2 linked regions of the Rattus norvegicus genome follow. The protein of the gene in region 2 binds, or shares a complex with, the protein of the main gene of each other region. Links are inferred from orthologs where the notes say so. Each region holds a gene or a part of one and is shown on either strand. Other genes may lie near its edges.

Evidence for each region.
Region 1: Gtf2a1 (region 2) and Polr2j share a complex: the UniProt entries of both Homo sapiens proteins name them as parts of the TBP-based Pol II pre-initiation complex. The link is inferred for Rattus norvegicus from reciprocal best matches to the Homo sapiens genes GTF2A1 and POLR2J.

Annotation. Positions count from the first base shown.
Region 1 is NC_086030.1:26,182,417-26,186,331, forward strand, and holds the start of Polr2j (DNA-directed RNA polymerase II subunit RPB11-a), read right to left. Parts: upstream 2,786-3,915; 5' UTR 2,734-2,785; coding exon 2,681-2,733; intron 148-2,680; coding exon 58-147; intron 1-57. UniProt on the Homo sapiens protein: Core component of RNA polymerase II (Pol II), a DNA-dependent RNA polymerase which synthesizes mRNA precursors and many functional non-coding RNAs using the four ribonucleoside triphosphates as substrates.
Region 2 is NC_086024.1:116,228,082-116,231,896, reverse strand, and holds part of Gtf2a1 (transcription initiation factor IIA subunit 1), read left to right. Parts: intron 1-27; coding exon 28-161; intron 162-411; coding exon 412-732; intron 733-3,815. UniProt on the Homo sapiens protein: TFIIA is a component of the transcription machinery of RNA polymerase II and plays an important role in transcriptional activation. TFIIA in a complex with TBP mediates transcriptional activity.

The sequences.
Region 1 (3,915 bases), on a different chromosome or scaffold from region 2:
AGAGCCCTGGTGGTACTGGCAGAGTGTGGTACTCACCCAGTGTGGGGGGAGACTTACGATTTAATGATGTTCCCCAGAGTGTGGTCTTCTTTGTTGATGGTGAACAAGCAAGCGTTGGGCACCTTGGTGTCCTTGTTAATGGTGATTCTGGAAAGAGACAGAGGCAACAGCTCAAGCCCACATCCAGCCTTGGGATACTGGCCCTGAGCATCACAATGTCCCCATTTGTGCTCAGACATTCTTGAACCTGCAGTTGGGCTGTTCCCACTACCTCAGAAATTAAGGTACCTGGCCCTTCCCAACGTATGCGCTGACGAACAGTTCCCTTAAACTAGCTCTTGACTAAGTTCTTACTAAGAAGACAAGAACCAGCTGGCAGTGGTGGTGCCCACCTTTGATCCCAGCGTCTAGGAGGCAGAGGCAGGTGGGTCTCTGAGTCAGAGGCCAGCCTGGTCTACAGAGTGAGTTCCAGGACAGCCAGGGCTACACAGAGAACCCTGACTTGGGGGCAGGGGGTGTCAGGAGACACTTAACCCCTAACAATCAAGGCAGGCCCACATCCATCATTCTGCAAGTCCAAGCTCCACTAGACCCAGTGCTACTGGGAATTGAACCTTGGGTTTTGAGCATGATAGGCAGAGCCCTCAACCACTGAGCTATAGGTCTAGCTCTTGGAAGCCGTTTTCAGTCTGCTCACCCATTAAGGACCCTGCAAGAGCTCTGGCATGGTTCAATAGCCGACCATTTTCCTCCCATGTATAAGCCTCTGGGTCTCTCAGCTCTACCATTCCCAACATTCAAACAAAGTTGGCCTGCCTGGTAGATAAGACCAGTAATCCAGCAACCTGGGAGGCTAAGGCAGGAGGATAAAGAAAAACCTCAGCCGTCGTCCTGGCTTTTCTCTTTGCTTAGGCTAGGGTCTCATTTGCCATGGGGATAAACCATGCTAGCTGACCCTCCTGTAACCACTTCCCATGTCCTTGGAGGAACACTGGAAGCAGAACTCAGCAGTTTTTTTTTTTTGTTTGTTTTTTGTTTGGTTCTTTTTTTCGGAGCTGGGGACCGAACCCAGGGCCTTGCGCTTCCTAGGTAAGCGCTCTACCACTGAGCTAAATCCCCAACCCCGAACTCAGCAGTTTTTATACGACTTCTGGGGATCTACACACAAGTCCTCAGTAAATGTTTTACCCACTGAGCCATCTCCCGAACCGATCAAAAACTGTAAAATGGGGTTGGGGGTAGGGGGTGGAGCTGGAATATAGCTTAGCATAGAGCACCAACCTAGCATGGGGCAGACCCTATGTTCAATCCCCAAATGACAAAAGCAAACAAGAAAACACATCTGCCCTGTGCTGGCCTCCTATCTATACACCAGGGAGCAGTTACTTAAGCAGGTTTTGTTTTTGTTGGTTTTTTTTTTTTTGAGACGGCATTTCTCTGTGTGGCTCTGACTGTCCTGTAACTTTGATCTGTAGACCAGGCTGGCCTCGATCCTCTTGCCTCTGTCTCCCAAGTACTGGGATTAAAAGTGGGTTAAAATTCACCACTCAGGGGTTGGGGATTTAGCTCAGCGGTAGAGCACTTGCCTAGCAAGCGCAAGGTCCTGGGTTCGGTCCCCAGCTCCGAAAAAAAGAAAAAAAAAATTCACCACTCAGCTAAGGATTACTGCTTTTTTCTAAAGCAGAATTTTTCAAACTCAGTACACAAATATTTCTTTCCTTTGTCCACGCTCCTATAAGAGGACAGCCTGTGATCGTCAGCTCTCTCCTTGTACCATAGTGGTCCCAGGGTCATCAGGTCATCAGGTTTGCCTGTGGGCGCTGTACCCTAGCCATCCTGCCAGCCCGGGTCACAGGCATTTTGGACCCAATCCTCCTTTTCTGAGAGGCTGTCTACTACATCTAGGGTCGCTAACAGCATCTGTTGCCTCTACCCGCCGGCTGCCAATAGCAACCCACTCAGGACAACCAGAACCGCTTCCAGACATGGCCAAATGCTCATGCCGATGGGATAACAACAGGGCTCTCAGCTCTCAAGAAGGCTGAAGTAGCTATCAAATGTAAAACAAAAACCCCTGCATAGAAATCTCTTAGGGGGCAGGAGAGATGGCTCAGTGGTTAAGAGCACTGACTGCTCTTCCATGGGTCCTGAGTTCAATTCCCAGCAACCACAGGGTGGCTCACAATCATCTGTAATGGGATCTGTGCCCTCTTCTGGTGTGTCTGAAGAGAGCAACAGTGTACTCAGATAAAATAATTTAAAAAAAAAAAGTCTTTAGGGAATACAAAGTGTCAGTTACAGGTCTGCAGTGTACACTGTACACTGTTCAGACAAACTCGGAAAATCTCCTTGGGGAGTTTCATTATTTATTGATTGGCTGATACAGACATGAGGAGTGTAAGGAACTGTGTCTTTGTCCTTTCACAGCTGCCATCATGAGCCAAGTGTCTGGAGCAAGTCAATGTCCCAAAGCCTCAGTTTCCCACTGCAAAAAATGCATGCATTCGCAAATGCTTCGCACCACTGCCTGAAGTTGGGCAGACACGCACTGAGCAGAACAGAATGCTCAAAGCAAAGCCCGCCTCGGTTTCCCCAGGCAGGAGCAACTCGGCGCTTTGCTGAAGCTGACGGCCGGCAGGCTCCTATACAACCGTCCCCGCCTCAGCCGGTCTCCACTTACTTCTTCTCGCCCTCGAAGAGCAAGAACGACTCGAAGGCCGGAGGGGCGTTCATCCTAGCAAGGCGCTCTCACTCCCAGACACCAACCCGCAGCCGCCTTCCGCCCACAGAACCCCGGAGCGCGACCACTTCCGGGTTACTCAGCCTCAGCCTCAGCCATTCAGAGTAAGCACCTGGCCCTGCGCCCCCTGGCGGGCCGGATGACCTTACGCAGGCGCGGGCAAGGCCCAGGAGACTGCGAGCTGTGGGCATGCGTCAGTCTAGAAGCCCTGTCTGAGTGTCTTGGCGCATACTCCAGCGCCGGGACTTATACCACTTGTTACTGTCTCCGTTTCACCGACTGAATGGGAATAGGAGTCCCAGTGGCTGCCGCTGCAGGACCCCCGGGTGGGCCGACACTAGCGTCCTTATGAAGCCTTCTAGATGAGGACCAGGGGAACAGGAAGGTGTGTAAAGGTTGGGGAGGAGTTTGAGGATGCCAGTGCATCCTCTCTTGAGCACACAGATAAACTAAAAACACGATGAAAGCTTTGCACCTCGCCATTTTTCAGCAGTCTCTGTGGCAGTCTTTTTTATTTTTCCTGTTTTTAAAGATTTTTATTTGCATGTCTGTGTGGGCACGTATATGTAGGTCTAGCCTTTGGAGACCATAAGAGAGTGGGGTCCACTGGAGCATGAGTTACAGGTGGTTGTGAGCCCCACCACCACCAAGTGGGTGCTGGGAATCGAACTCCAGTCCCCTGCAGAAACAGTAAGGCTCTTAACTGCCGAGCCATTTCTCCAGCCTTCGTGATGGTTCATCTTGAAATTTAGAATTACCGCGGAAACAAACCTCTAGGAGGGGCCAGCAAGACAGTCCAGTGAGCAAGGGAGAGTGTGACCAAGCCTGATTACCTAAATTCAGTCCTCAGGACCCACGAGGTGGAAGTTGGGAACAGACTCCTCCAACCTCCCTTCAAGGCATGCACTTGAACACGTATGCACTCACAATGCATAATAATAATCGTAGTCATAATAATAACAACGAAAAAATAAAAAATAATAACAACGAACTTTTGGTTATGTCTTTGAGATTTTAGACAGGTTTGGCTGAGGAAGGCATCATTAATGTGTGTGGCATCACCCGAGAGGCTAAGGTGTCAGACTACAGCTTCCTGGCTGCAGACACAATCAGCTGCTATGAATCCTGTTGCTATGACATCTGCATTGTGATGAGCTGTACCTTTCCGTAAGATG
Region 2 (3,815 bases):
CTTGGACTATATTCTTTTTTGCCATAGGCCAGCTGCTTCAGGTAGTCAGAGCAGCCAATGGTGCCCAATATATCTTTCAGCCTCAGCAGTCAGTTGTTCTACAACAACAAGTTATACCACAAATGCAGCCTGGTGGAGTACAAGCGCCTGTTATCCAGCAGGTAATGCAGTTTTACCTACCATCCCCTTGATATTCATTTTCTTTGGCTTCTGCCTCTGCTGTATGACTTTGTGTGCTTCCCCGCTCTTTTCCTGGACAGGTTAATAGGTGTACAGCAGTCAAGAACAACCTTATTCTGAGTTAAGATGATATGCCTTCAAGCACATTTCTCATGTTTAAATTATTATTAGTTTGATTTTGATTTTGGATCCCTGTAACCAGTTTGTAATAGGTGGTTTTGTTTGCCCTAGGTCCTAGCCCCACTTCCTGGAGGGATTTCACCACAGACCGGTGTCATCATCCAGCCACAGCAAATCTTATTTACAGGGAATAAGACTCAGGTCATTCCTACGACAGTGGCAGCGCCCACACCAGCACAAGCACAGATCCCTGCAGCTGGACAGCAGCAGCCACAGGCCCAGCCTGCTCAGCAGCAGGCTCCATTGGTGCTGCAAGTTGACGGAACAGGGGACACATCTTCTGAGGAAGATGAAGACGAAGAAGAAGACTATGATGATGATGAAGAGGAAGATAAAGAGAAAGATGGAGCCGAAGATGGGCAGGTGGAAGAAGTAAGTTTCTACAAAAGCCTTGAAAAGAAAAGGCGCTCACCATTCACTATTGTATTTGGTGCTAAGCAGACAAATTATACACTATTTTTTCAGAGGGAGAGAGAGGTGGGTGCTTGCACTGTTGATTGTACTATAATTCGATTATCCGTTTTTGGATCTATTGATTATTTTGGTGGCTTGTGTTCTGGAGCTCCTGCATTTCTCTTTATGGACATGAACTTGCCAACCTAACTGTATGAGTCTATCTTGCCATTTTGTCTGTAATTCGTAAACATCAGTGTGTTATCACTTCATGATAGAGCAGACTGTTAAAAATTTTCCAGTCTGAAAACCAGTCTCTCGGTTTGGTTTTAGTTTGAACTTCTGTGAGTACTTAGAAGCTTCAGTTGCTTCCGTGTGTTTACTGTTATTTATTTTTTACTATGTTGAAATGGCAGGTAGCATTATTTCCAACCGTTTCCCACAGTTTTAGTCCTTCCTTAAGTGACATTTACATGGTATTTCTTCAGATTGCTTGTGTAATAGACATGTATAGAATTTTTAAAACTCATCGTTGAGCCAGCCTGATGTGTTTATAATAATGTGTTTGTTGACGCTTTTGTTTTTTATATAGAAGTTTTTTTTATAATGGTCTATTGTTTGTTATTGTTGTTGTCATCGTGGTTTTTTTCATTTCCTTGTACATGTCTTTTGGGGCTAAGTGAGTTGATTGCTTTTGTAATTAACCAAGTACTTTGCTTTTTTTTTTAATTACTAGGAAATGTATTTTATTATTAAATGCCTTTCTGCAACTCTTAGTCACAGTATCACATTTATAGCCTGCTATTTATGAATTTTATTGAGTGGTCCTACTTTGTAAACCAGTATTGAGTTTTCATTATGGCACAGCTTGGTCATTATGTATTATCCTCTCTAACTGCCGGACCCACATGGACAGAAGTTTTAGATCAGTGTTTATGAATGCGTTTGTAATTTCTTTTCTCTCAATCTTCTCACCAGTTCTCATGTTGATAGTATCCTTATGAAAGAATTTGTAATTTTTTTAGAAACATGACATAATCTCTTCTGTGATTTTTTTTTTTTTTTTTTTTTTTTTTTTGGGTTCTTTTTTTCGGAGCTGGGGACCGAACCCAGGGCCTTGCGCTTCCTAGGCAAGTGCTCTACCACTGAGCTAAATTTTTTTTTTTTTTAATTGTTTTAAAGACAGGGTCTCATTAAGTAGCCCTGGCTGGCCTGGAGCTCAGTGCCTCCTATGTTCTAGAATCAAAGGTGTGTCCCACTGTCTGTGCCTGGCTAAATTGGGGCGGGGTGGGATGTGTTTTGCTTTTTGTTTTTGTTGTTTGTTTTTTTGAGGCAGGTTCTTTTTTTTTTTTTTTTTTTTTTTTTTTGGTTCTTTTTTTTTTCCGGAGCTGGGGACCGAACCCAGGGCCTTGTGCTTCCTAGGTAAGCGCTCTACCACTGAGCTAAATCCCCAGCCCCTTGAGGCAGGTTCTTACTATATAGCACTGGCTGTCCTAGAACTGGGTATGTAGATCTTCCTGTCTCTGCCTCCCGGGTGATGGGGTTAAAGGCTTGTGACAACCATGGATAGCATCTGGGTATTTGCTTCTTGTTGTTGTATTTACCATTGAACGACCTATCCCTCAGCTCAAGAGCATCTATGAAAGTTTCAGTCTTACAACTGTAAGCAATTCAGTTCTGCCAGCCCACCTGAATGAGCTTGGAAAAGACTCAAAGGTTTAGGTGACAATATGGTATCTTGTGATGCCATAAATTTTAACCTATGTGAGACTGAATAGGGAAATTTTCTATATTATGCTATGCTTATACTTTTGAGCCTCAGGAACTATAATAACAGATGTGGTTTTCTTTTCTTAAGCATTTTTAGTCATTAGGGAAATGGAAATCTAAACCACAATTGGGAGGTCGTCATACCTACTAGGAAAACTATCATTAAAAAAAATTATGTGTCTGGTGGTTTTGTCTGCATGTATTTCCATGTATCATGTGTATTCATTGCCTATAGAGGCAGAAGACAGGGTGTCAGATCCCTGGGATTAAAGTTAGAAATCGTTGTGAGCTGCCATGTGGGTGCTGGAATTGAACCCAGGCTCTCTGGAAAAGCAGCTAGTACTCTTAATTGCTCAGCCATTTCTCCAACCCACACTGCTGTATTTCTTTTTAAAAAGAAAGTTTATTGATGATGATGAGGATTAGGAAAAATCGGAACCCTTGTGTATTTCCAGTGTGAATAAGAACCAAAACAGCTTTCACAGAAAACAGGGCTTTGAACACAGAATTAAGCAGAGTTAGCCATGTGCTGCTAAGTTTCACTTGCAAATGAACATAGGAAAGAATTGAAAACAGGAGTTCAGACAAAACCATGTACATGAGTGCTTACAGCAATACTCTTGTCACTTTCCAAACAATACAGACATCCTGAATGTCTGTCAATAACTAGTGAATGGCAAAGAAAAAGTGGCCTATCCAGACAACAGGACAGCATTTGACCGGACTGTAAGGAAGCATGAAGTGCTGTGCGTGCTGCTACATGAGCATACACGAACACCCAAGCACAGCACAGACACCCACAAATTGTATTGCTTTATTTATGTATACAGAACAGGCACATTTATGAAGTCATAACGCGGATTGGTGGTTGCCAGGACACAAGAGGGAATAGAGAGTGATTGCTTATGTAAAGGTTAGTGGAGTGCTCTGGAGCTGTGGAGACAGGAAGTGTATGTTCTAAATGGTTTTATCGTTTTTTTCCCTAACATAGACATTTCTGTTCAAAGAGTATATTTGTCACACACCCCTATGTATGAGTGGCATACACCAAGGCTTTAATATCCTCAATTATTTTCCTTTCTACCTCTGTTTTGTCTTGTCTTTCCCCTCGTCATTTAAATCTGAGTTAAAGCTTCTGTCTTACACCACAAATGAAGTTTAACCTTATTTTATCAAACCCTTCTTTGGTTTTACTTTTGCCTCTGAGGCGGTTCATCCTCTACGTTTAAGAGTAATTTAAATCTTAATGATTTTTTTCCACCATGTCATCATGTTGATAAACAGTACTGATT